3 linked regions of the Coturnix japonica genome follow. The protein of the gene in region 2 interacts with the protein of the main gene of each other region in a biochemical or structural test. Links are inferred from orthologs where the notes say so. Each region holds a gene or a part of one and is shown on either strand. Other genes may lie near its edges.

What was found. The genes of interacting proteins can lie anywhere in the genome.
Region 1: the proteins of CFTR (region 2) and PRKAA1 form a complex in vitro, tested with the Homo sapiens proteins (2 studies listed by BioGRID, with this or other methods). The link is inferred for Coturnix japonica from reciprocal best matches to the Homo sapiens genes CFTR and PRKAA1.
Region 3: the proteins of CFTR (region 2) and SLC9A3R2 form a complex in vitro, tested with the Homo sapiens proteins (4 studies listed by BioGRID and IntAct, with this or other methods). The link is inferred for Coturnix japonica from reciprocal best matches to the Homo sapiens genes CFTR and NHERF2.

Annotation. Positions count from the first base shown.
Region 1 is NC_029547.1:11,797,815-11,804,224, forward strand, and holds the end of PRKAA1 (5'-AMP-activated protein kinase catalytic subunit alpha-1), read right to left. Parts: intron 5,665-6,410; coding exon 5,538-5,664; intron 4,271-5,537; coding exon 4,026-4,270; 3' UTR 1,142-4,025; downstream 1-1,141. Other genes in the region: TTC33 (tetratricopeptide repeat protein 33), read right to left, coding at 326-543. UniProt on the Homo sapiens protein: Catalytic subunit of AMP-activated protein kinase (AMPK), an energy sensor protein kinase that plays a key role in regulating cellular energy metabolism.
Region 2 is NC_029516.1:22,122,622-22,129,486, forward strand, and holds the start of CFTR (cystic fibrosis transmembrane conductance regulator), read right to left. Parts: upstream 4,681-6,865; 5' UTR 4,494-4,680; coding exon 4,441-4,493; intron 1-4,440. UniProt on the Homo sapiens protein: Epithelial ion channel that plays an important role in the regulation of epithelial ion and water transport and fluid homeostasis. Mediates the transport of chloride ions across the cell membrane.
Region 3 is NC_029529.1:6,208,299-6,214,708, reverse strand, and holds part of SLC9A3R2 (Na(+)/H(+) exchange regulatory cofactor NHE-RF2), read right to left. Parts: intron 5,406-6,410; coding exon 5,229-5,405; intron 3,837-5,228; coding exon 3,683-3,836; intron 1,823-3,682; coding exon 1,779-1,822; intron 1,463-1,778; coding exon 1,400-1,462; intron 1-1,399.

The DNA.
Region 1 (6,410 bases), on a different chromosome or scaffold from region 2:
TTTACAGTACGGCTTACCTCACAATACTTTATTTACCCTCTGAAACTTCAGATGCAATCAGTTTTCCATCTTTCTCCATCATTCCTTGTTAAGGAAACACACGGATATGAGACTCGAATACAGACTTCACAGCAGCCAACGTCAACACCAAAAAACAAAAACAAGCCTACTCAGCATCACACCGTAGGTGCAAAGTCTAAAAACAAGTGACCAGTCTTTTTTTCAAACACGGGATGCGTGAATGCAACTATTAACACTTAATGTTCAGGAAAAGGATTAAAATAACACGTAGCAGGTAGTCAAAGAAAGAAGATAACATCAGTACCTCCTATTTTCAGCCAAACTTGCCCCCTCATCCTTCAGCTGTTTGCTCTTCTTTACGCAGTCCTCGATAACTTCCTTCCTCCTCTTGGCGGCGTTCACCCAGTCCTCATCTTCATCACCACCCGGACCCTTCTCCTCCGCCGCCTCCGCTTCGAACTGCTGCGAAGTGGCTCTCGAGACCTTCTCGCCGATCTTTCTCTTCCAGCCAAAAGAAGCCATTGGGAGAACTAGAGGAAAACAGATTTCAGCGATTAGAAGAGCTAGATTTACGGCGTGCGGGAAAACAAACACAGCTTGCTCATCTTGAGCAGTAACGTGAAGCAGAACGCCCTTCATCCATACAGATCCCGCCCAGCAGCTCCACGCCAAGCGGTAGCGAGGCGTTCTGCACCAACCACAAGCAAAAGCAGCAAGTAAAGCACAGCCCACACCCAGGAGCGCTACGCCGAGCTCCCCGCGGAGCCACAGGGCCACGGCTCGGACACGGCCCGAACACCGCCCCGAGCGCTGCCCGAAGGGGGGCGGGCAGAGGCCCGGCCTGCAGCCAGAGCCCGCTACCTGCCGGCCCGCGCCGCCTCAAGCCCCACACACCTCTGACCCGCCGGGAAGCGGAAGGGCGGAGCGGCAGCGGTTCCGCCGTGGGCTGAGAGCGACGGGGAGCGACAAGGGCCGTGTCCGGCCGCGGGGCCGTGCTGCGGCGCTGTGTCGCGGCGCTGTGCCGTCCAGCAACCCGCAGTTACCAGCCCGTCCCCTCCCAGCCCCTCTACAACGACAGCGCGTAACACCACGAGACAGCACACACCTGCAGACGGGATGCTTAAGTACTTCGTTTTTACTTTAAGCTTCTGAAAGTTTTATAAAGTCAACACGGTTATAAACAAGCATTTTTGCATTCGTTACTTTGTCAGAAAAAAAATCAACATAGGAAGTAGGCACATCTTTATTAAAAGAACATGACTTCAAATCTTACAATGGTAATCAACTGGTAAAATAACATTTCCACTTTAGTAGTTAACGCTCATAACAAGACAACCATGACAAACATGACGTTTTCTTCTTGCTTTTAGCATTATGCACCCAAATTATACTTTTTTTTTTTCCCCCTCTTTTTTTAATTCAATACCTACTGAGCTCAGAGATAACTGGGTTTATCTGTGCTTCCATAAAGCAAGAACACAGGAAAAATAATTCAGCACACTCCAACTGAATGTGCTTGGATTGCAGAGTAACATACTTGACCAATTCACGTATTCACATCAATTACATCCTCACACTCCTGCTGTTTTCCTCAGTGAGGTTCAGTCTCACAGCCTGACGGGATGCAAAAGAAGATCTCCAAGCTCAGTAGGAACATCTGAAGAAAGCAGCTCCAGAATAAAGATCTACAAAGCGTAAGAAAGTGACACAACAGACAACTGCACCGGATTCAAAATAGGATGTCAGTCCCCTTCCCCACTCCCCAAACCTGTATTATAAAATCCCCTCGGTTCTATCACAAAACTTTTGGCCATCAAAACTGTTGCATCGTGCCAACAAAATTCAGACAAGAGAACAAAGTAAAATCCGCGGCTGCCATAATGCACAGAAGGGCCAAAAGAAGTGTATGTAATTAAGAGCTGCTCGCACCTTTTCACCAGGAGCAGATACCATTAGTAAATATTTAGTTAAACATATGCAAGAGGCAGTTTTAGTGATCCCAAACAAACTCCAGATAAGGAATTACTGCAATAAAAAAATCTGTGCGTTTGTTACATTTGTACAAGTGCAATATTTAGGTTTCAAAATAAAAGGATAACAAAATGAGCACACCTATTTATTCAGAACATCAGAACCTTTCCTTACATGACTGAAGAAAGGACTTAAAAGTATGATTGATAGCTGGTCCCACATACTGTCATCTCAGTCTCAATAGTTCAAACACAATAGTTTTTCCCTAGGAGAACCCTTCCACTCTGAGCTACATATATGCTATTCAAAATATAACCTTGCACTACAGGGACCGTGCGAGACACTACTTGAGGACAAGAAACTGAAGCTGTACCTACATACAAGACAGGACACACAATTGCCCAGTTGAGAAGAGCTACAGCACTTCTGAGGCTTAAGCATATCTAAATTTCTTCAAATTTGTAACAGAGGAATTTCTGGACTGAAGCCAACTGGACTGCATTACACTGTTCTTGTCATCTGAGGTTAGCAGCGTGTCAGGGATGGGATCTTAGACTCATCACTGGCTAGAAGTCCCATCCATCCTAACAAAGTCCAGGTTACACTGTTTATATTAATGCCTTGATTTCCAGTTTCTAAATGGGAGAGCAATCTTTTAAAGCCATGTAGTCTATCTCAAAAAGAAAAATCCCCTAATAAGAAATTAAAATGGTTTATGGCAATTTACTGATTAGCATTTACATCCATCAGTGCTAGATGAAAATGGAACTGTGGGTACGTACATCCAACTTACAAGATATTTAGCATTTTTCAGCAAATATATCTGATTCAGCATTTAAGGTCATCTTCTTAAAACATTTCTTCTGCAGTTACAACTACTGTTATCTGTGACTGCAATCTACATTTCAAAACCTCCTAACCATTAACACTTTAGTTGTCATATTCAGCTTTAAACATTCAATGGAAAAACAGCACTATTAATTTCCACAATTTAAGTAGTAAAATTTGTTTGAGGGTAGTCCGGAAAAACTAAGCCTATCGATAAGTTTCAACTGCAATGTGAATTCTACATAGCATATAGTAAGTTAACATGTGATGTAAGCAAACATATCTAAGTATTAACTTTTTTTTTTCTTTAAAGCGTGTCAATTTCAGATTGCAGAATAACATGCAACAACCCCTAGGCTGTGCTCTTAACTACATGCATTTACTTCTAAGGATTCTCAGCCTGCCAGTAGCTGTGCTGCTACTACACTATGGTACGAGCTAGCAAACCTGCACAGATCAGGAGCTTGCTCACAGTGCTTTAGAGCAGTGATCTGTTTCAGGCCATTGCATGGCGTGTCTTCTCAGCATTGTCTCTCTTGGCACTGCTGTGGCTTCAACTGTTCTACTTAATCCCCAGAGAACTGTACTCGTAACTGTGCTGCAGAGCACTTACACGTACTGAAAATTCCAATTGGTTGGATTTGCCAACATTTACTCAAGTGCATCAACTATTGAATGGCATATTACAGCACATCAGACTTTGTTTAAAAATCTCATTTACTGCTGAATAAAGGGGGAAGGAACAGCAGTTTTAACACTTTACTGTTAGGAGACATTAACTGTTCTGATCAACTGAGGCACAAACGTAGACAGTGACCAACAAGTCATACTTAGGTCAATGAACTTGTAAGCGCACATTTTCTTACAGTGCTCCAGAGGTATGCATCACCAACAAGAAGGACAAAAAGGACCATGTAATGTAAATGTTATATAAATACTAACGTGCACTCAATGAAAATGTTACAAGCACTGCCAAGGGGCATGTGACTTCCTGTACCTGTATTAAGCTACTGGATAGCAGAAAATCAAAATTCACTCCAGCTTCAAAGCAATATACCTAATTCATAATGATTTAAATCCCCAGGTAAATTGCATTTTGCAGCTAGTTTTTTCAGCGCCTTAATTTAAATTGATTACAACTGGAAGCATCTGACTACAATTTATGCATGCTTATTGCTGTAAAAGAAATAAGCCCACCTTCAAAGTTATTGTGCAAGTATTTTAATAAGATTTGCACACATCTCAAAAAATTCTATTGTATGACTGCCAGGTCTTGGAGTTAAGTCAGCTGTCGAAGAATCAAGTGAAGAGGTCATTGATGAGGTAAGCGACGTATCTGCAGATTTTCCTTGTGCATCACCATCTGAGTCTTTCTGACATGATCTGTAGTTGCTCACAGAACCTGATCTCTGTGGAGTTGCAGTCCCAGACTTTGTTTCAATAATTTCATCTGAAAAGGCCAGTAGAGAGTAAAAAATTAGTCATTCACATCAAACTAGCCAGAAGATCAGCAAAATATTTTTCCCCTCAGACTTAATCTTGTTTTTAAAATCCTTGTTAACATTTAAACAGCTCTTGTGAAGTATATATAGTTAATACAAAACAAAAGCTTATAGAAGTAGTAACAGAAGCAGTCATCCTTATGCAAATTGGTACAGTGCTATGAACTGTGCTTCAGGACAATATGATCAACATTAGACGAGCAGCCATCATTTTCCAGTCAGTAAATAATTTCAGTGGCTAACAGTTCAACTGATTTACTTCATTTATCTTTAAACTCCCATAGTTATCTGTTTAAGCTTAATAACAGTTCAAACATTTTGTACATACTTTCTCCTAGCATCTACTTTGTTTTTATTGTATTTGGTTATTTATATTTTATTTCTAATATTCTTAAGACTAATTGTGCATTGATTGCAACTATTTACAAAAGTGAAAAACAAACTGATGTGTTTCTTTTAGAATTTTATACACCTTGAACTATATCTATAGCAACTTAAGCTTACCTCCCATATTAGAAAGAAATACTTCCATCTTAGAAGCAAGGTCTGCTGAAGTATCTTTTACCTTACTTTAGAAACTGAACATTAGCTTGTTATTAGACTCACACTTGTACCTTAGAGTTATGTCCAGGAAAAATTAGTGAGTAAAGGAGGGACTGTTTTTTACATCAGTCAAATCTACTTGAAACTGCAGTCCCATAAAAGAAATACTTAATAGTTATTTGTAGCAAAAAGAAATACCAAATCAGCTTCATGACTGAAAAGACAGGCTGTCCTTTCTTGGCTGAGTGGCTCTAGGCAGTCTTCTTCCCTCCCACTGAACTGGTATTTTTCTTACATTGTTAGTACAGTAAAGTGATTAGACCCTTTTATGAAGTATCACTGGATCTAAGCAGCAGCAGACAGTTAAAGTAACCTAAGTATTGCTTCTTCATAGCGCTGCCCCTTTTAGTACCAGTGGCATCAGTGCTGGTAGAGACACACAAACCAATAACTGAGGAGTTGATACAGCTAAAGAGGGTTTTGAGAGATGAACCAGCTAATCATTTGACTACAGGAGCACTAGAGCAGGAAGGAGCAAAGAAATACTAAAACTGAGATCTGGCTTTAGCTGATAAAGGGTAACAGTTTTAATTCACTTATTCACAAGTAAATTAAGACCTGGAATTTAGAACAGTTTCCCTTATAGTTCCATTAACACAAGTCTTTGCATACCATCAATGCTACGGAAGTCCAGTAAATATGTTCTGCTGTCCACCTGATACAGCTGTAAACTCATTTTAGAATATGCACTTGTCACTGGATTCTTTCTTCGAACACGCAAGTAGTATGGATTTACAACCTATTACAAAAGAGATTTGAGTTAGTTACCAGAACTGCTTGAGATGCAGACCATACTGTTCTTATTTCAACTTACTAATATCAAGGGATTTCAGGCTTGCCTCTTAAGGTGCGTTTTTTGGTGGTTTTTTTTTTTTTGTCTGTTTGTTTGTTTGTTTGCTTTTTCCTACTGGCAAAAGGAAAAAAAAAAAAGAAAAAAGAAAAAAGAAAAAAGAAAAAAAAGAAAACCCACACATCCTTAGAGCCCCAGCAGAAAAGTTAGACATGTTAACACAACTTTTTTTCTTTCAGCATAAATTACCTCTTCCAAAACCATTTTCATGCAGTAAGCAAGTTGTTGGTGCACACACACACACTTGTTTTCCTGCACAGGAATGTCATCAGAAAAATCAGGAAAGTAAACTTGCTAACTCCAACATAGTGTAAGAAAAACAGCATTCCTTTTAGTTCATGATACATACCTGGCAACTTGACAAATCAAGCACTCACTCCTGGAGTTCATGTTCTAAATTTAAGCATTTAAGCCATTCACATGCAATACATTTCTGGAAACTACATATTCATTATTTTCCAAGAATTCATTAATATATGTTAAAAACCCTGTTGGGCCTGCACAGTGGGAACCTAGGATGGTCACAGACCACTTCCTTCAGTTTCCTCTTGATATTGCCTAGCTGACCTTTAGCTGTTTTCCCCCAGTTTGGCAAATTTCCATTGCTTGTTATGCCATAATGAGCAACTTTCTAT
Region 2 (6,865 bases):
GCCAGAGTCATACTGAGTGAAGAGGAATTGTCTTGGTCCACATATAAAATATGTAATATAGTTAATACAAATACCAACAATTATTTTATTATATTTTATATTACTTATTAACACATAAAAAAAGAAGGAAAAAAAAAAAAAAAAAAAAAAAAAAAAAAAACCATGAAACTAAAGGTTTGCACACACATGGGATCACCCTAGTTCCTTCTCTATGTGAAAGAATTCAAACTAATTCTCATAAGATCACCTTCTTGAACCAAAAACTATTTAGGTAAAGGCATCACCAAATATTACTAAGGAATTTCACATGAATACGTTTCTTACCCACAACAATGCTTTAAGTGAGCCATGGAGAAATTAAAAGCACCTTGAAGAGTACAGACAGTTACTGTCCATAGGCGGTTAACTAGTCCTATCTCCCAGAAGACGTAAGAGGGAAGGATACATAGAATTCCGTTTCCTATCCCCCTTAGCACACACACAGTGGAAGAAGGAATTCAGCATATATTCCCATCATACCAGTGTTCTTGGTTCTAGGAACCACTGGACAGCGATCTGTATGAAAAAGTCACAGGCTGATCTTCCTCCAGTTTGGAAAGAAGAAGCATCTTTGAGTAGAACTGCTGGGCTGAGCTTGTGAGAAGGGAGCATGAAGATGGCTTCATCTGAATTGCGTATCTGGATTTAACAATGAAACAGTCACTGAACTACTCAGTCCTGACAAGATAGTTGTCATATGTGGTATGTAGCAAAGCTAAAGTATATGCCTAGAGAGTTGAATGAGAGCATAATGATTGCCTTTTTGAACTTTTGAACTTGGGAAGAAAAAGAAATATATTGTCCCAAAGTTCTGAAAATCCAGTGATTTCTCTGTGTTTTCTATATCCAACTATAAATTAATTATACCTGCATTCGTTAAACCATAATGATTCTTCCTGACCTCCAATTATCTACAGTAAAAACCAAGTGGCAGCAAAGTACCTTGTTTGCTACATAAGGTATTGTCTTGACCCTGCAAAATCCTATAGCATACACAGCTTTGTTACAAAGACAAGAAAGAAGCTTCACAAGGAACATGAACACAGGTGCATGCCTCTATAGAAAAGTCTGCTTTCTTTAAACAAGAAGTTGACAGTGAGCACATCAAGGTCTTCTCAGTGGTTTCAAATAAAAGATATTAACTCCAAATAAGTAATACAAAAAATAAAATGAAAGAAAACCCTGAAACACTGAGTAGTTAATATCTAGTGTTTCTAAGTGTCATAGTAAAAGCAGATCTCAAACCATTTGCATTCATACTTCAGTTCTGAACCATCACAGCTCAGTTTCTAAAGCACAAACTGTTCAGATTTTAGCATGAAGGTTGATTTTTGTGCCTAAATGCTTTCTGTCATTGTCACCCCAAGCAATTCTCTTCTGTTGCCCTATCAGCCTAGACAATCTTGAAAGTCCAACCAAAAGGCAACATTTCCCAAAGCTATTACTCCTTGTATACACATATTAACTTTTTTTAGCATAACAAATTAAGAAGGAAAAAAAAGCAACTACAAACAACACTGAAATGTTCCAATTATCCTCTTCAGAGCAAGTACTTCCATTCTAACTTCAACACCTTCAGCCCTATCCCTCCTGCACAAACAGGCTATAAAGAGCAATAAAACCCAGTCAACAGTTTTGCAGACATCAGTATCAAGAAGTTGATAACACCTCATGAAATATTAAATAAATATTAAATAACATTATATTTATCTACAAGATTTTCTGAATAATACTAACACACTTTTGTGACCTTCAACTCAACTGAATTATAACCAGCTCGGTACTTCAGAAGTAATTCCATGAGAAGAAGTTACCTCAGTAAAGCATTCATCATCAATGTTGTACTTGAAAAAAATATATCATACCATTATTGGACATAGCCATCTTTCTCCATACACACCAAAGAAAGACCTGACTACTCCTTCCAGATCCAATGCCCTTTGGATTCTGTCTCACACTTCCATGGAACTAAAGCAAATACTAACATGTAGGCATGCCTTGAAGTTCTTTACTTAATAGCATCAGTTTCAGAAGCCACTGATGTGTGTACATTCAGTTAAAATGCTGATAAAATATTCTGACATCCTAGAAAACCTTGTTCCAATCTGACACATTAATCACTGCATTGTGGATGTTTCCAGTTGAGTGGACTGGAAACAGTTGATGCTGATATGTAGCAAATGCTCTGACTCTTTAAAGTTCATTACAGAAAATATACTTCCACGCGCTATGAAATTCTTATGCCTTGATGCATTTTTGCTCTGTGATTGTTCACCTTTTATTAGTCCTTAGTATTGATATGGATCTACCCCTGATGAGACAAGAACTGCTAGAGTCCTTGAGGACTGAAGCATTTTCAAACAAGCTAATGTGTCTCATGAAATAATGCATGACTTTAAAAGATACATTGATTTCTTTATTTTTAATTGAAAGACATTCTATCTGCCAGTTTGGATGTAATACATTTTCTAACCTTTTGGTTTTTGCTCTTGTGATTTTTTCAGACCTTTCATGTAATGCTCATAACAAACAAAGGCCTTTGCAGCGTACTTGTCACAATGCAAGTAAGCAGAGCACTTAGTAATTAATAGACACACATCATTCAGAACGTATGAGTCTTTACACAGTTACACATACAATTTTAGCTGTTCTCATCCAGCGAACTGGATGTGTACTTTAACAGATTGATTTTTCTGTGACATACAGTTATTACAAAGTTTTGTAAACAAGTTTATCTGATGTAGTCAGTATTGATCACAATTATCTCTTTTACTTCATATATTAGTTATTATCACTTCATTTACAGTAAGATAGTTGGTGCAATATCACATCTCCTCCACGATACGTAAGATTTAAATGACATTTAATTGACCCGAAGATTCAGATTTTAAAAGAGTTCGGATCAGATCCCAGGATGGTTAATTATGCACTTCCTGAGCATGAGCTGCACCTGGTTTCAGCCATGGAAACATTAACTAAGGTCAGAATCAGAAATACATTTACTTTATCACATTGGAATCTTTCCTTGACGCCTTCCCAGGTCCTAGGGGAGAACCCTAACAAAAGCTTTACAAAGAAATAAAATGAAATACAAGTGTCTCCACAAGCACTGGACTCATTATGTAGCCTTCTGTCCCACAGATCTGTATCTTAATACTTGAGCGGAGAACTAACTGAAGCTTATTCTATGGATTAATATATACAGGCTTATTCCCATCCACATTTTCTGGATCTATCTGCATTTGAGGGCAGGAACAGCTGTACTCACTGCAGCATCTGTACCAGACTCCCCTGGAGTCCTCACCTTTACCTGGATGGTTATAAAGCCTCAAAAACCGCTTATGTTCAGGATCCTTCCCTGCAACCACACCTGGTTAATGATGAACAACAGAACTCAAAACGGGGGAGGCCGGCAAAACAGCAATTCACAAGGGGCACTTCCCTTGTGGAACTTTTTTAAACGAAAAAAAAGAAATAGGAAGAAGAAAAGCTCAGGGCAACCTGTTGAAAGGGAAAGCCATCCCAAAAGGTTTAGAAAGCGAGTTAACAGCCCTCGATTATTCGGCCAATGTTATGCTTCCATACCACGTGTTCCCATTTCAGTCCCCGCGCTCATGCTTTTAACATTTCATCCCATCCCTCAGTGCTGTGTGAAAGACCCTCAAGGAACAAAAGGGGAAAGCAGCTCCTTAGGAAAAGGGCAAAACTGACGGCATGTGGGCTGCTGCCAGCCGGATTGTTTGTTCTTTCCAGCTGGCAGCGTTACCTCGAACAATGTCAGGTAGAGCGTGTTCAGGCTTCTATACCGACTTATAGAGCGCCGTGCACCGGTGTTGGCATTGGCTCCTTTCTCTTTTTATTTGTTGTTGTGCGAAAGAAAAGGCGCCGGGCACTGAACTAGTAAGAGAACGCTCTCAAGGCTCACAAGGAACTCCCTCCAGTAAGATCGCGTCTTGCGGTCGCACGCCGAGCAAACGCTGAAGCTTAAGGAACCGAACGGGGGAACGCTCGCTCCGGGAGCACCCCCCGCCGCCCCTCCCCTCTTCTCACCGTTTACGACGAAAGAACAGATCACCTCGTTGAGTAATTTACCAAAGGTTGCTCAAATTATGCCATAAATTAATTTGTCCGGGGCAGGTGAGGGTTTATGACACCTGACAGATCGAGACCGCTCGGTGCTACAACCCCGCAGAAACATGCCAGAGAAGAGATAGGATCCCGTCGTTCGGCCGCAGCTCCCATCGCTCACCCCGTTCAGAGCCGAGCGGCGTCCCGGCCTCCGGGCGGGAGGGGAGGGCAGGGAGGGCAGGGGAAGGGAGGGCGGGGAACGGGGAGCAGGGGAAGGGAGCCGAGCCCCGGGAGCCCCGTTCCGCACGTGTCCCACCGCGCCGGGGCTCCCACCTGAAGAAAAGTTTGGAGAAGATGTTCGCCTTCTCCAGGGGGGATCTCTGCATGGTGCCCGGCGCTGCGTTGCGTTGCGTTGCGCGGCGCGGACGACGGCGGCCGCTAATCGCTCACGCCCGGCTCGGCTGCTCCACTCCCGCGGCTCTCCCACCTTATCCGCTCGGGACGCTCTGATGTCATTGCCTGCCTCCTTCCCCTGCCCCTCTCCCCGCCTCTGCTTTGCCCAGGTTCAAAAGCAGGAGGGCTGCGGCGCCGGCCCGCGCTCTGCCTCCTCCGCCTCCTCCTCCTCCGCCGCGCCCGGCACCCGCTGCCCGCGCTCCCCGCCCCGACTCCCCGGGACGGCGCTTCCTGCCCGGCCCCGACCCTGCACCGCAGGAGCCCCTCGGGGAGACACCGCCCCTCCGAGCGGAGCCTCCTGCCCCGGCTGCGGAGCGGTGGAGGCAGCGCACCTGAGCCCGTAAGCATCGACGGCGGGACAGAGCGGGCAGTGCGGACGGACGCCTTCGGACCCGCTGTAAAACACACACACGCGTGCTTCAGGCTTTCAAATTTCGTGCAGCCACAGCTCCGAAGGAATGGGAGCTGGAGCACATCCTCACAGAGCTCAGTCTGCAGAGCCAGGTTTAACAGTAAGGCTGATTTCGTCGTTCTGGATGCGTGCTGTACAAACAGGATCCCTGCTGCCAAGGACAGCGCAGTTTAAAGCATGCTTAGAAGAAGACAAAGAGCCAGAGGCAGGAACAACAACTTCGGCTTTAATGCTGCACACCAGATAATTTTATTTAATGCTTTCGTGTCATATTTACAAACTCAGTTTTCCTTTCACTTCTATAACTTGAAAAAATATAGACGGAATAAGACTATGCTTCCTTAAGCATGCAGCTGTTCCCCATCGAGCAAAATCTATAACAGGCAAACACGCTACTCTGTGCTCTTATAAACTGCACTCCAATTAAAGCTGCTGTTTCTCTTTGTAAACTTAGCAGGCGTTTTTTTATTATTATTTCACCACTTCTTTCTACACCCCACCGTGATTTCATAAGGAATCGCTCTGCTTCAGCACTTCTCACACATTGCAGACAGCGGAGAGATGCCCCTTTCCCTGCCATCGCACCGGGCTCCTTTGTGCCTCGGAGCTCCCATGGATCCTCCCCGACTTTGCTCTATTAATGACAAAACCAGTAAGAAGCACAGAGCAGGCAGGGCTCCAGGAAACCGTCTACACTTTATCATGTCTTCAGACAATGCGGAGAGGCAGGACTAATTCTAGGCGGGCTTGGGGACAGTGGAGCGGAGCCCTTCGGCATCCTGCCACCTAGTGGAGCCGGGCCCGGGCCGCCAGTCCGCCCCGCACCGCTCGGCAGCCGCTCCTCGGCCACAGACCTCCCGGCCCACCCGAGTTTGGTTCTGGGCTGCAGGTGGGCACCTTCTCCCCACCCTCGGACACCTCAGCAGGTCGGTCTCCCTACTCCTCCGCACTCAGTGACAAGGACACTCAGCTAGGAAATAAGGTTAGGATGTAGATGGCAGAGTATCATAGAATCACAACATCGTTAAGGCTGGAAAAGAACACTAAAATCATCTGGTCCAACAATGAGCCCAACATCATCATGCCCAATAAAACGTATCTCCTTGTTTCTTGAACACCTTCAGAGATCATGACTCCACCTCTCTGTTCCAATACCTCACTATTCCTATAGAGAAGAAATATTTCCTAATATCCAGCCTGAACCTCCCCTGGTGCAGCTTGAGGCCATTACCTCTCATCCTATCCCTGTTACCTAGGAGAAGAGGCTGACACCCACCTCACCACAAGCTCCCTTCAGGCAGCTGTACAGTGCAATGAGGTGTCCCCTGAGGCTTCTCTTCTCCAGACTAAACAACCCCAGCTGCCTCAGCCACTGCTCATAAGACTTGTGCTCCATTCCCCTCACCAGCTTTACTGCTCTTCTCTGAACTCTGTGAGCCTACATTTCCTGTCACCTTTATCGACTGGGCCCTAACACGCAGACCAACTCAGTGTCTGAAATTCTTTCACTTTGTTAGAAAGCGTAAAAGCTTTAATTTAAAGACAAGCTGGAAACCAGTCCAAGCAACATACAACCACTCTGATGCACGCTCTTCGTCTTTTAGAACAACAATTATTCGTAATCTTGGGCATTCTCCAGCTGAATGTGAAACTTGTCATTGGCACCAGCATGAGTAGGAATAAACTGTATCCTTTCTGTTCTCTCTGGTGACTGAAATACCTCCAAATTTAGTAGTATCTATGAATTTCATTAATATGACCATCTTTTACTTCTACAGAAATGCAGCCTGGTGTGACAACATCTACTTTATCTTACTTGCATCCACATCCACCATCTATCTGACTATAGTCTGACTTTCAGACAAAACATAGTGAGCCTGAGTTAGTGAATGA
Region 3 (6,410 bases), on a different chromosome or scaffold from region 2:
GACCTTACTGGCATTGTTACTCTGGCTGTTGGAGCCACCAAGCAGCATCCAAGCCTTGTGCACCCAAGGCTCTGTCAGTGTCTAAGGATGAGAACATGGTCTTTGGGCACCTAACCTGGAACACTGGCACTTATGTCTGAACAAGGCTAGGAAATCAGGTAATTACCCAGGGGTTGGAACTGGATGTTCTTGTAAGTCTTTTCCAGTCCCATCATTCTATATTCTACATCACCACACTGCAACCAGTGCTGGGTCAGAGCCCCCACCCCACACTTTCTGTGGTTTAACCAGCATGGGAGCTGCAGGGCCACAATCACTACATTGCAGCTGGTGGCTCCTTCCTGCCCAGTTGGCTGCACCCAGGACATTCTCCTTTGGGCACTGTACAGAAAGATGCAGCTTTCTATCTTCCTGATAGAAGTACTTTATGGGAAGAAAATCAGTGACTTTCTAAAGTCACTGCCACTGTTGCAATGTGCCCTCAAGCCAGAAGCCCCCATTGCCTATAGGCTCCTCTCCCCTCCCTTGTCCCAGTAATAGATTAAAGATGACAAACACATTGTACCCAGGGGTACAATTAATGCACAAGTCCAAATGCTTTGTGCTAAACATGCAGCACTGGGTTATCTCAGCCCTCACCCTTCCTTGGAATCTACAGGGCAGAGAAGGACCAGCCCTGCTGGGTGCTGCACCAGAGCTGCTTTCAGTGGGTGAGCTCCAGAGCAGGTACAATGTGAAGCTCCTGCACCAGCACCATGTCTATGGTTTGGGTAGATGGTGCAGCTCCTGGTCTTAATGCCCGCAGAAGTGCCCCAGTGCAGTGCTTTGCCTGCCCCATACTCACATAAGCACAGCAGGCAAACACAGAGAACAAAGATCTCCACGTTTTAAAGCCTGTCCTGCCCTCTAGCATTGCTGCCCTCACACACACAGTGCTTCCTGCAAGAGGACCAGCTTTGCTCTGGCTCACAGATGCAAACCGGTTCACATGCACTGTGCAATTGGGCCATGCATTATTTAATGCTCAGAGCAAAAGGGAGCTTGCCAGCCTGTAGGCGCCTGGCTCAGCCCTGAACACAGCTGCTGCTCACAGCCCCCTGCCCGGCTGGCTGTGGGTGCTCAGGGGGTGCATCCCCTGCTGCAGGGCTCTGCTGGCAGCACAGCCATGTGGCACCACACACCTTCATCCCTGGTGAAGGGGAAGGAATGCACCTCACATGGATTTATAGGGCAGGGCATGACAGAAAACTCCCTGTATTGATTGCTGGGTGGATGCAGGTGTACCTAAGCCTTCAATTTGAAACTGAAATTGCATGCAAATATGATTTTACACAGTACCGTGGCATAAACATGTACATACATATGTGAAAAGAAGGCAGCACGTGTTTGGGGTTTTTACCTCGGATTCCTTCCCAGGACTTTGAAGGTCACTGTGAGATGAAGATGTGGAACCTCCATTCAGCTGTGGGAAACAGAAACATTAGCTCAGGTTGTGTGGGGGCAGAAACAATAAAACCCAATAACCACATGGGGACAAACATCACAGCCAGTCCCAGTGCAGCACCCTATGCCTGCAGGGACAATGGTACATGCAGGGTGCTACTCCTGGTGAAAAGGCACAAATGGGGCTGAGCCCAGTCTTGTGCAAGCCTGAAATTATAGCTACAGCAGGAAGCAATTCTAATTAGCCAGCAGCAGTTAATTGAGCTCAATGAGCCTCAGCAAGGCTAGGAGGTTCCCTCTGCTTTGAGGCAACCTGGGAGCAGGTGGGGACTCACCTGCATCTGTGCAGATCCATTCGTCATGGGCTGAGGCACCACACCTGCGGACCAGGCAGAGGAAACAGAGTGAGTGCACTCATGGGGACGGCCGGGCTGGGCTCCATCACAGGGGCTGCAGTCCCAACAAGGCCCCAGAAGCCCCATGTGCCCCCTACCCCAGAGATGCAGCCAGACCCAGTGTGTGCCCCCCAGAACCGCAATCCCAACCTCATTCAATTGCTGCTTTCATCAGGAGAAAGCCCCTTCCAGCAGGGGTACTAAACCACTTCCCTCCCTAAGCTCTGCATTCAGTGCACTCCTGTTTTTGACAGCGAAACCATTTTTCCTGGGAATTGTTTAATCGGAAATCTTACAGACCAGCCCAACATTCTTTGCTGAAATCAGCAACTTGTTGGTGTTGCAATAGCATGTAGCAAGCAACCCGCTGCCTTTCATGGACCTTGGCACATTGTTGCCCACTTCCAATAATTTGTGTTAGTAATCCTCCATACAATGGCAAATTCAATGCAGATGGGCTGCTAGTTCCCACAACCAAGTCACTGCTCAAGGCAGCCTGGGACAGATGAGACACGGTGCTACAGATGTGCCAGTTGTGACAGGGCTAGTGACTGAATTATACTTAGCACAAAGACTTCCTGGGGGCACAGACCCCATTCTGTGCCCCTCCGTCACCCCAGTGGGACCCCTGAGCAGCCCCCAGCCTACAGCAGCCAAGCAGAGAACAACACTGTGTGCTCATTGTGCAACACTGTACCCAGTGAAGCAAGAGCAGCTTGTAACTGCAGCAGCCCAGGGCTTCTAACTTACAGCTCTGCAGCCATTGTGCATCACAGCATCAATAAGGTTGGAAAAGACCTCCAAGATCACTAAGCCAACCCCCACTCCATCCCACCCTACCTACTGACCATGTCCCTCAGTGCCACATCTCCATAGTTCTTATCACCTTCAGAGACAGTGACCCCACCACTCCCTGGGCAACAGTGCCAGTTCCTGAGCACCCTTTCAGAGAAGAAATGTCCCCCAGTATCCAGCCTGAACCTCCCTTGGCATAACACAGTGCCATCACCTCTCATCCTATCGCTGTTACCTGAGAGAAGAGGCCAACTCCTACCTCACTAAACCCCCATCCTCCTGGTGCAGGGAGCAAGGAGCCAGCGCCCAGCACTCACACACCCACACGCATGGCCCTGGCTGTGTCCCTGCTGCTGGGAACAAGGGCTCCTTTGTGCCTGTGCCAGCAGACCGGGCTCACACCGCTCCTCTTTGAGCCCACTTGGAGCATCTGACACCGCTCTCAGCCCTCAGAACTCTTTGACTCAATTTCTCTGGACCAATCTTCCCACGGAGCACCTGACTGAGCTCGGGTCGGATGGTGACAGGGTGTGGAGTGGACAGACTACTTTCCCTGCCAGGTTCCAGCAGCAAGGGAAACATTCCCTGCAGCGGACATCTGTGATCGCTGCTGTGTGAAGCTCATCTCTGCGTGTGCACATGGGGGCTGTTCTTACTTCTCTCTGCGCCCTCAGGCTCCTTTGCCAAGGGTCATCACGCCCTGCAGCCCCACAGCAGTGCTCTGCTCCCAGACACCGAGCAGCCCTGGGTTGTGCCACCAAAGCATCCCCACAGCTGGACCACTTGCACCAAGTGCTGCTGCACCCATCGACACATCCCACGCAGCATCGTCACCCCACAGCCGCCTTCTGGCAGCCAGTCCCTATGTTAATTATTCACGGTGTAAAAATAATGAGTTGTTTTGTGGCTGGGAGTATTCTCACTGTTTATAAATAGCTGGGTGGTGCTCAGGAAACCGCTCAGGGATGAGACAAGGGAAACATGACTCTGTCACTCCTGAAATCCCACCCTTGTCCTGGTGAGTCACAGGGGCAGAACCAGGCTCTCACCTTTGGTGTGCTCCTCCGTGGGGGTCACCCCCAGCTTTTTGAAGTACTCATCTGTCTCAGGGTCCACCACCAACAACCTGGCTTCGCTCTCTCTGGCTTTGATATGGGACACCACTTCTGAGTGCCGCAGCCCCTCCACATTTATTCCGTTTACCTGCAAAAAACAGCAGTGTTGGACTGCAGCAGAGACATCTCTGACACCCAAAAAAACCTCTGCACAAGCTCCATCTGTCCATTACAGGGAGTTGGCCAAATGACCTTTAAAGGTCCATTCCAACTCAAAGGATTCTATGGCTCTAATTCCTGAATTCCACCGGACCCCCAAACTCTGCCACCTCCTAAACTACATGAGTGCTCAGGACCACATTGGTTCCCCTCTAGCAACTTCAAGCCCAGTATTCATCTTCAGTTTGCCCCCAAAACCTCATCCTGCCTGAGCTCATCCCCAATAAGGGATGAGGGAGGATATCCCTTGTCCCAGCAGCCAGGCAGAGCACAGTGCTTGTCTGTCCCTGACGTGCTGACTCATTTTCCCTTCATCGCACGCGACCTGGGAGCCACCAGCAGATGAGATTTCTCCTCCCAGGCAGAAAGGGAACAATTGTGATTTCTAGGCATTGTTTGTGCTCAGAAATGAACACACCCATTGCCTGGGGCTGGCGCAGACCCTGTAGGAGACACAGTCCCAAGGAGCCAGCCTGGCTTGTAGCCATGCTCCATCCCCACCATCACCCCATAGTCACCCCAATGTCACCCCAATGTCACCCCAACATCACCCCAATGTCACCCCAATATTACCCCAGTCCTGCCCCAGGACTCACCCTGACCCATAGGGAGACCCCAAAGGGGACTGCCCTGCTCTCCCACCCCAACACTGGTACAGCAGGGCTGGGAACATCAATTATTTATCAGAGCCCCAAAGAGCTGGAGCAGGGGGGGGATCAGGTTTCTGAGCTCTCCAGCTCACCCCTCGCTGCTTTGTGCATGCCGGGCACTTGGCCAATGGATGATAAATAAATAACAAAACACCTCGCTGCCATGAACCGCAGCCATGGGTGTCCCAGCCCCAGCATTACACTGCCACAGTGCCAGGGCAGAGCCAGGCTGGGGTATGGTGTGGAGCCCAGCTGGGAAACAAGTAATGTCTGTCCATCTGTCTGTGCTGCTTTAAATGGGGGAACTCATTCTTCAGTAAAAACACCAAGAGACAAACAAGGCGAGGGTGATTCTGTGCAACATCAAGAATTCTGTTGTTCGGCATTAAGCAAAATCGCTTCCAAGAGTGGTTTCTCCCCCCATCTTTCACAATCCTATGCTTTAAGATCTCTCTGCCAAGCGTTTCCCCTGGCTCCAAACTCCTGCCCAGCAGTATGATGGATCTGATGGAAAAGGGCACAGGACTGGGCCTGGATTCAGCATCACGCTTCCCAGCTGAGCATCACATCCCTTCTGCACTCCAGCTCCTCATTTCCAGGAGGATTCATGTTGGTAGGACCCAAAAATGCAACAAAAGAGCCCCAAAGCTCCATGCTGCATGTGCTGTTACCTCCACCAGGCGGTCCTGGGGCCGCAGACCTGCTCTGGATGCTGGTGAGTCAGGGTCAACCGAGCGGATGAACTGCCCTGGGCGGGACTTCTCACTGTGCAGGTTGAAGCCATAACCATTGGGACCTTTCTTCAGGTGGCAGAGGCGCGGACACAGCTCTTTCTGTCCATTTAAATCCTGATTTAAAAAAGAAAGATGATGGGGGGTGGTTACGCGGGGGGAGAGGATAAGATATTGTGTTTGATTTATCGGCTTGGTTTTGTTCTGAATCAGAATTAAGTTGAGAAGGAAGCAACATATCTGCACACCATCCCCTCCTTCCAGCTCAATGGGGACAGGTTAACAAATGGATTTCCTCTCATTGAGTTTATTTTAGAAAACTGATTGTCCAAAACCACTCCAGAGAAATTGAAACAACAACAACAAAAAATGCATTTCCTCAGCCAACAGCAGCCCAGACCCACCCACCCCCCCCCCCACCACCACCACCTTAACTCCCAGCACTGATTGATGTTAGCACCGTGCCTGGCTCCCAGTGACTCCAACACGGCTCAAGGCTTCATCCTCACCTTGCTACTCATCCCTCCCTGCAGGGATGTTCTGAGCAAGCTGGGTGATGCCCAGATCTGGAGCTGCATCTTTGGCCACTCTGGGGATGGCACCAGGGGATGGGCAGCCCTGTCCTGCAACCAGCTCAAAAATGATCATGCAGAACTGGGAGTACTGAGCCAACAGGGCAGAGAGGGATCATCTGTGTGCCCACCTGGAGCCATGTGGCACAGCTGCTCTGCAGTCACTTAGCAGTGAGCCTATGGAAACATTGATCTGGGCAGAGTGGGAAAGCCCTACAGAAGTCTTTGCAGAGAGGAAGCATCAACCCTGCACATGGTGCTGCCCAAGGTGCCCACAGCACGTCCAGGCTGAGCTCGCTGCAAATATTAGCAGAGCACGTGAGGGCTTTGGTGCTTCACCTCTATCACGTGCAAAATGTTTTATGGTTCCTTGGGGCTAACAGGAAGCAGCACACAGCAGGTTTTATCCCACTGCTGTTCTCGTGCACCAGGCACAGTGGCACAGCCATGTCCTGGGCAGGAGCTGCTAAGAAACAGAAGTGCCTTCGGGGCTTTTTTAGGGGGTCTATGGTTTAAGGAAAACATTTCCTGCAGCTGAGTTTTGAATCTG